2 linked regions of the Canis lupus familiaris genome follow. The protein of the gene in region 2 purifies or fractionates together with the protein of the main gene of each other region. This does not show direct contact. Links are inferred from orthologs where the notes say so. Each region holds a gene or a part of one and is shown on either strand. Other genes may lie near its edges. The genes, in order: TXN and PRDX1.

What was found.
Region 1: the proteins of PRDX1 (region 2) and TXN purify together in Homo sapiens (affinity purification with western blotting; 3 studies listed by BioGRID, with this or other methods). This does not show direct contact. The link is inferred for Canis lupus familiaris from reciprocal best matches to the Homo sapiens genes PRDX1 and TXN.

Annotation. Positions count from the first base shown.
Region 1 is NC_049232.1:65,600,183-65,604,573, forward strand, and holds the start of TXN (thioredoxin), read right to left. Parts: upstream 3,070-4,391; 5' UTR 2,954-3,069; coding exon 2,930-2,953; intron 1-2,929. UniProt on the Homo sapiens protein: Participates in various redox reactions through the reversible oxidation of its active center dithiol to a disulfide and catalyzes dithiol-disulfide exchange reactions.
Region 2 is NC_049236.1:14,929,464-14,933,763, reverse strand, and holds the start of PRDX1 (peroxiredoxin-1), read right to left. Parts: upstream 2,934-4,300; 5' UTR 2,902-2,933; exon of another isoform or gene 2,642-2,901; intron 237-2,641; 5' UTR 226-236; coding exon 120-225; intron 1-119. UniProt on the Homo sapiens protein: Thiol-specific peroxidase that catalyzes the reduction of hydrogen peroxide and organic hydroperoxides to water and alcohols, respectively.

The sequences.
Region 1 (4,391 bases), on a different chromosome or scaffold from region 2:
CATAGCAGGCCCTCCGTAAATACTTGGTGAAATTACTTTCAAAACAAAATAGTATACAAACACTGTCAAGGGTTTCCCAAACAATTCTGAATCAAATTCAAGCAAGGCTACCTAAAATTCTGAAAAGAAGAGAGGCACGCAGCAACTTTTGGCTTAACTGAAGAGTTACAGAGCCAGGTAGGTGTAGACGTCACAACCAATTCTCTTCTCCTGATACTTAAGTTTGTCTAAAAGAGACATCGGTTTGAATGAGTAGGTCAAGATTATCTCACCAAGACGCAAACCACAACGTCTAACTCCCAGAGACTAACAATGAACATTAATAAAGGTCCTCATTATGGATCTAAATATTCCAAAAACAAAATATTTGGGGCAGATGAGAGCAGAGTCTAGAGTCTTTTTTCCTAAACAGCCCCATTCCAAAGATAATTAACAGGCATGGGAGTGCCCATGTATAGAGGGTAGGAGTTCAACAAACGGGCAGCTACTACTCTTAAAAATAACACACAACGGTGTGATTTCTTCCAAGCCACATGGACAGTCCGTTATCCCACTTGTATCTCAAATAGATACCAGTGGTTCTGAACTATCGCACCTTAGAACGAGCTGTCCTGGATGGCCAACGGCACCAACTCTAGTCCAGCAGGATGAAAATCTAAAGTGTATTCAACGTTTGCAAGTAACACTGAAACGAGCTTAACTTTTGATTAACGTCCCTGGAACATTAATTCTGAAGATCAGCTGAATGATCGGGGTCTCTGCGCTCCAGGCTGTAGTGGTTTTTTTGTGTGTGTGTGTGACCAATTTCTGGTCACCCCTGTATGTCTTCTCCTTGATGAGGAGAGGAGGACGCCAAAAGTATGACAACTAAGATACAGAAAAACTGATAGAGGTGTTCCAGGAATCAACCGATTTTGTTTGTAGGTATGCATTCTGAGACAACGACTGTAAACCACTCAAAGTCTTCTCCCTCCTTTATGGGTTCTCACCTGTTGGGTTTACTGATGAAGAGGTCAGACTCTGGGGAACACCCCCCCACACACACACCCAGACTGATTTGTCACTCAGTGGGTACTGAATAAAAGTAGGGGGGAACAAAATTCTATATTAGTGACCTCTCCAACAAATGACAGGATTGCTAATTTTAATATAAAAGCTCACACAATAATAATAAAACGTCAATAGGAAAAAAACTCAGGACAAGTAGATAACAAATCGTAATTAATCCATCAACAAATGGGGCGGGGTGAGTTCAGAGTCACTAATAATCAAAGGAGATACAATTTTTCCTACTAATGATTTGGCCAAAGTTAGAGGGGGAAAGGTCAGTGTCGATGGGGGTGGAGGGGAAGAGCACTCGCCTATGCTTCTTGGGGACTTATAAGCCTTAAATAAAAGGTTCACACCCCTTGACCCCATCACTGCACTGGACCCTAACCTGAGGAAACAAGCCTGAACTCTGCAAGGGGGCATGAACAAAAACATTCACCGAGGCACTGAAAACCGCCCAAATGTCCAGCAACATGTTCAGGTATTGCATGGATTCCAAACCTGCCAACTACACAAAAAAGGGTTCAGGCTAAACTGGGGGGGGGGGGGGGGGGGGGGGGGGGGAGGCTCAGGAACAAAACAGGATACGTAAAATAACCAACCACTTTGGACTTGCTTGTAGGAAACAGAAGCTCTCGTGCGCGCTCAGTTTTCTACAACGATCATACAGGCTTTCTGATTATAAGGGTCAACCAAACGGTGGGCACCCCTACAGAGCAGCTCGCATTTCCGAAGCCACCCAGCATCTCCGGTCCAGACGCTCAAGGCGGGCGAGGGCCGGGATGGGAGCGGCCGCCAGGTAACCGCTCCCCGCTCTCGAGGGTCTCCCCGGGGCTCCAGCACCGCCGGGGGCGCGCACCTGCCGCCCGGGCCCCGAGCACGCGGCGCCCCCGACGGGCCGGGCCCGGCCCCGGCCCCAGCCCCAGCCCCGGCCCCGGCCCCGCGCACTGAGTCATCCCACCGCCAGCGCCGCCGGAAACACGCCCAGCGCCGCCGAGGAGGAGTCCCAGGGCGCGCCCGCCGCGCTTCCCCGCCGCCACCTGGGCCCGCGCACTGCAGGAGGCCGCGGGGACACGCCGCCCGCCCGCCGCCTCCAACGCGCCCTCCAGCGCCCGGCCCCGCCCCACCCCGGCGGCCAACCCGGCCTCCCGGGCAAGGGGTGCAGGAGCGGGGGAGGGGGGGGGCTCGGCGCCCTGGCCACGGGCAGCCCCGGCATCCAGCGCCCGGCCCGGCTCTCCGGAGCACGGGGGTGCAGGGGGTGCAGGGGGGACGGGGGTGGGGGGCGCCCTTGGCGCCCTGGCCACAGTCAGCCCGGCATCCAGCGCCCGGCCCGGCCGTCTCCATCCCCGCGGCCAACTGGGCCTCCCGAGCACCGGGGTGCAGCAGGAGCGGGGGGGACGCTCGGCGCCCTGGCCGCGGGCAGCCCCAGCATCCGGGCCGCGGGAGCGCGGGGTGCAGGAGCAGCGGGGGGGGCCTCGGCGCCCTGGCCACGGCAGCCCCGGCATCCAGCGCCCATCCCGGCGGCCGACCCGGCCTCCCGAGCACAGGGTGCAGGAGCGGGATGGGGGGGCCCCGGCGCCCCGGCCACGGGCAGCCCCGGCATCCAGCGCCCATCCCGGCGGCCGACCCGGCCTCCCGAGCACGGGGTGCAGGAGCGGGGGGGCCCTCGGCGCCCTGGCCACGGCAGCCCCCGCATCCAGCGCCCATCCCGGCCTCCCTCCCCGCGGGGCACGCTCGGCCGCCCCAGGCGCGCCCAGGCCCCGGCGTCCCGCACTCCCGGGCCCAGGCGCCGCGTCCCCTCCCCGGGCAGGGACGCCGACGCCCTCGCCCTCGCCCTCGCCCTCGCCCTCGCCCCTGGCCGGCGACGGAGGCGGCGTACCTTGCTCTCGATCTGCTTCACCATCTTGGCGGCTGGCGTCTGACGAGCGGCGCGAGACGGAGGGAGCGGGTGCAGGGCGCCGGCCGGGGCCTGCCGGGGACGCAGCCCGCCTTCCCTTTATAGCGACTGGGGGCGGGGCGGGCGGGCGCGCGCGGCGTGCGTGTGGCGGGGGCGCGCCCGCTCGGAGCCCCGGCCAGGCCCCGCCTTCCGGAACCGCGGAGACGCCGGCCGGGGGCGGGGCCTCCAGGGGGCGGGGCCTCCAGGGGGCGGGGTCGCCGCGGGCGCGGGGCGGGGCTACCGGGAGCGGCCCGGGCTCGGAGCCCGGGGCCCCGCCCGCCCGCGCAGCAGCTGGGAGCGGGGTGCGCGGGGGCGCCTGCGGGGCGCTCTGTGCGGGGGGCGGGTCCCCCAGAGCCCCGGAGCCACCCGGGAGGGGATCGGCCGTAACCGAAGGCCCCCACGTGCGAGACGGGGCGGATGCGCTTAGCTAGGGCCGGATTCCTCGAAAAGGTCCGCCACACTCCTCCCCCTCCCCGCCCCCCGCCGGCCCCGCAAACCCCACAAAGTGCTGAGTAACGATGACCAGGAAATGCCTCTTCGCTGGAGCTTATCGCGACGGCTCTCTTCTCTGCCCTCTTTCCTTTTCTTTTACTTTCACCGTTGGAGCCGCCGCTGCTCCGGCGTGACACTGCACTCTAGCGCGTGGGAGGGCAGGAAACGGGCTGGGCTCCTGACCTGCAGGCACCTGCGTGGGGGGGGGGGGTACGTGCGGCTCCACTGGTGCAGGTGCGGCCGCGGGCCGTCCCGACGTCCCGATGCCTCAGTGTTCCTGTCTGTAAAATGGGGATCTTGCTGGTCTCTAATTCATGCCAGGGGTGTTTTGAGGATGAAATGAAGTGCTTGTGAAGCCATTAGGACACTGCTTTGGTACCATAGCAAGTACCCAATAGTTATAATCAAAGCTGGTGTGAGTACTAATTAGGCTTGCTTGGTGTCCTTGTTTGGGGCGGGGTGGGGGGTAATGCTGCTCTTGTCGACCTTATATTTATAATGGCGCCAGTACACACATTTGTGTGAGTTTTTTTCTACTACTGGTAGAACCCGGAACAGAGGTGTTGATCCAGGGATGCGTGTTGCAGGTTGGGTCTGGTAGGTTGGTAGGCATTGTGAAGGCCTCAGGAGGGCCCGTCAGCGGCAGGAGGTGAAGGTGGCAAAGGCTTTGAGCTGGAGAGGAATGGAGGCTTGGAGGGTGGAGGTGTTGGGGTGGGGGTCTGAGCAGGAATTTTTCAGCGGGGGAGCAGCTCTGGATGGAGCTACCTCTAGGTGTGTTTGTTGGGATGGTGAAACTGCCCCCTGCCTTCCTTCTCCCTGCTCTTGCAGACAGAAGGAAGAAAACCAGGGGTTTGAACCCATCGTGCCTGCAGGGTTGAGGAGCACAGGGCCCATGAGTAAGACCACGGACCAG
Region 2 (4,300 bases):
CTGACCTAGGAGGGAGAAGTCGTTTTACAATCAAACCTAACAGATATACAGAAATCTAATGATCCATCCTAGATGGTAAAATAATTCCATTTTAATAAATCTAATATAATTACTCTTACCTTTGTAGTCAGATAGGCTGAGGTCTTTGAACTGGCCATCTGGCATAACAGCTGTGGCTTTGAAGTTGGGAGCAGGATGCCCAATTTTGGCATTTCCTGAAGACATCTTGCTATGGGCTGGAGAAAAGAGGAAGTAAATTAGAAACAAGCCTTATTTTTCTAAGTAACCAACACCCTTCTACCTAGACACTTAGCTACAAAATAAAAGAATTATCCAGTGGCCCTAAATATACATACTAATTTTTTTATATTAGTAAGACGCATCTGAGAAAGCTCAGAAAACTGAGCTTTCTAACTTATGAAACAAAACCAAATATTACAGGGCGCCTGGGTGGGTCAGTCCTTTAAACATCTGACTCTTAAAAAAATAAAATAAGGGAACCCTGGGTGGCGCAGCGGTTTAGCGCCTGCCTTTGGCCCAGGGCGCGATCCTGGAGACCCGGGATCGAGTCCCACATCGGGCTCCCGGTGCATGGAGCCTGCTTCTCCCTCTCCCTCTCCCTCTGCCTATGTCTCTGCCTCTCTCTCTCTGTGACTATCATAAATAAATAAAAATTAAAAAAAAAATAAAATAAAATAAAATAAAAATAAAAAAATAAACGTCTGACTCTTGATTTAAACCCAGTTCATGAACTCAAGGCTAAGCACCGAGCCTGCTTAAAATTCTTTCTCTCTCTTCCCTTCCCCTGCGCTAGAAGACTCACTCTTAAAACAAAACAAAAAAAATCAGGGCAGCCCCGGTGGCGCAGCAGTTCAGCGCCGGCTGCAGCCCGGGGTGTGATCCTGGAGACCCAGGATCGAGTCCCACGTCGGGCTTCCTGCATGGAGCCTGCTTCTCCCTCTGCCTGTGTCTCTGCCTCTTTCTTCACTCTCTGGATGAATAAATAAATAACTCTTTAAAAAAAAAATCAGAATACTTCTCTGAACATCAGCTTTTGTTTTCCTTTAAAAACAGCAATTTTTAAAAATTGAAGTAACCTCTTACTTTTCCTAAACGATCATTTATGCAGTGACATTTTCTGTACTCTCATTATGCAAAAAGCTCCAGAGAAAGAAGGTTCGATATCAAAGCTGAGCCCAAATGAACAATTCCACAAACAGAATGTCTGATCTCTAGAAGTGGTCATGTTGCCCTTTCTCTGGACTGCATCTTTATCTGTCTTCAGAATTCAAGAAGTCCACATGACCTTTCTCCAGGTACATTTGCCCAAGAGACCGCACACCCCTAATCCAACTCTGGTTTTCTGTTTTTGTTTTTGTTTTTTTTTTTTAATTTATTCAGAGGCAGAGAGAGAGAGAGGCAGGCAGAGGGGCTGCCCCCCTAATCCAAGTCTTTAAGAGACATGATTCCCATCTGCTAAATTGCAAAACTTCAAGGGTTGTGTTTAAGCCCTAGAAGTCCTTTCAAAAGTAGGTTTCTGGGCAGCCCCGATGGCGCAGCGGTTTAGCGCCGCCTGCAGCCTGGGGTGTGATCCTGGAGACCCTGGATCGAGTCCCATGTTAGGCTCCCTGCATGGAGCCTGCTTGTGCCTCTGCCCCTTTCTCTCTGTCTCTACGAATAAAGAAATAAAATCTTTAAAAAAAAAAAAAAAAAAAGGTGGGTTTCTGACCTCAGGGCCAGGATTCTGGAGCAGCAAGTGGAACAAGGGTCTATTGCTGGGAAGCCTAGCTGGCTCAGTTGGTTGGAAGCATGTGACTCTATCTCAGGGCTGTGGGTTAGAGCTCCATGCTGGATTTAGAGATTACTTAACCTTAAAAAAAAATCCTTACTGCAAAACAAATCATTGCTAAAAAGCAATGCTGCACTGGATTCACTCAGGTCAACACAAAGTTAAGGAATTAAGATGTAAACCAGTAAGTCATCAGTTTGAAAGGCTCAAGAAGCTAATTTCCCAAATCCCAAACTTTTTTGGTGCATAAAACCAAGCATCTATTATTGCAAACTTTCTATTGCTAACGCCTTTTAAAAAAAAAAAAAAAAACCTAGTAAGGCAAGTTGCAATTTGGCGACCAAATATAGAGGGGGTGTGTGATCCTAACATAAACGACCTCCTCATCCAAACCTGCTTTTCCACGTGGTTCTCACGTCCACTAAAGACCGACTCGGCGGGGTAAAGGCCCTTAGACCTCAAGGCGGCGTGGGCCTCGGTGGATCTGCCCATGAACTTCCAAGGCTAAAGGCACGCCCCCAAATCCCGCTTCAGGTTCCCTCCTGCCGCTCCCATGAGAAACCCCACCACAGCACTTAGGAAAGCACTAGCCGCCCCCCCTAAAAAAAAAAGAAAAAAAAGCAGTCTTGACAAATTTGAGATCACTACAACCCTATTACACAAACGCAAAAAATAAAGCCAGGGTAGGAAATCAGTACCGGAAACTGCCCATGTAGGCCCAGCGGAGGGCCGGGAACAGTCATCACCTCCACCACACGACAGGCGGGTAGCCTCAGGTCAGTTTCCAGGTCCACTCTAGAAGATTCCTGAGCCCGCCCCGCCCGGAAGGAGCCTAGCTGAGGAGAGCCCACCACTACCACGAGGCCCCCTCGCCGCGCCAATGAGCGCCCTCCGCTCGGGTTGCCGGGGGAAGAGGAAACTCGAACCGACGTTAGCCTCAGGGTTTAAACAGGTCCCCGCGTCCGTAAGGGAGGGCGCGCGGACCGCCTAACTACTCTCGAGCGCCAGACCTCGTCCAGCCACCTCCCCCGTCACAGCACCCAAGCCAAGTAGGGCAAGACCCTGGGAGAACCAGGAAAAGACGACGACCCGGGCGTGGAGAACCTTCTCACCAGCGCTGAGGAGACTAACCGCCGATAACCAGTCAGGAAGAAGACGCGTGAGGCGAGCGCGGGGCGCTGCCTTTATAGCCTGCGGGGCTCTCGCGAGAGTCAGAGCGGGCTGGGGGTGCAGGAGGAGGAGAGGGAAGGGGGATCTGGCCCCGCCCCCGCCCCAGCCAACGCGCCCCGCCAGAATGACTCAGCACTTTCCCTCGCGGTGGGCGGGCTCGGGCTCGGAAGGTTGGGATCCCCCTCCCTGCTGCCGACGGTTAGGGTCGGGGAGCCGAGGGCGGCGGTGTCGAGGCCCCAATGCCCCTGTTACTCTGGGATCTCTGCGAGGGTCTCCTGCGCGTCCTGCCCTCAAGACCCAGACCGCGGTATTGGTCTTGCCCCACGGAGGATTACGTCTAATCCACATCAAGCACTTAAAATTGTCAAGTGTTTCTCACATATGCCACCCCGATCCCCGCAGCCTCTGCCGTAGTGCTGCCTCAGTACCTAGACAACCTCCTTCATTATTCTGATTTACAGGATTGCTGCTCTCCTTCTCCCACCCACTCCTAACGCAGCGGCTAGAGGGAATCTTTCTGAAATCTGATCAGTTCACTCCTCTGATTTGTGGTTTTAAAAACTGGGGCTCCGTAGTCTGTTTCCTGAGTTAAAACTCATTGTCATTTTATGTGTGGCCTTGATTGTTCTCACCCGTAAAATGGAAAAAAACTAGTAATTCCTTGGGATCATCTTTGTGGCTTACTTAGCACAATTCCTAGTTCTTATTATACGTTAGAAATGTTAGCTGTTATTATAGAATTCTTCCTTGCTCCTAGCTGGATTGTAACACCCAGAACAATGTGTCGCTGTTTCAAGACTTCAGGCTTTTGTTCAAATATGAAGAATCTGTTCCCTCCTAGTAGACCTAGAGAAAATGTCTTTGAAGACCGCCGAAGCATGACTTCTGGAACTGTTCCGGACCTTGGCTCATCCTCAAAAGTCCTGGAAAGCTGTTCTGGCTTTTGCTCCTCCCCAGAATTTATCATTCCGTCCTTTGTGCCCAAAACAACATCCTGTAAGGCCAGAAGCTATACAAAATACCTCTTTAAAAAATATATATATTTTGTTTATTTATTCATGAGAGACACAGAGAGGCAGAGACACAGGAAGAGGGAGAAGCAGGCTTCATGCAGGGAACCCGACGTGGGACTCGATCAGTGGGACTCGATCAGGCATCTCCAGGATCACACCCTGGGCCAAAGGCAGCTCTAAACCACTGAGCCACAGGGGCTGCCCTCTTAAGCTATTTTATATGTTTATATGCCTGTCTCTTCTTGCTACATTGACTTTCTGGAAAGTAAGGTTTGGGTTACACACACCTCATGTCCCTAAGACATAACAGAGCACTCGATATAAAATA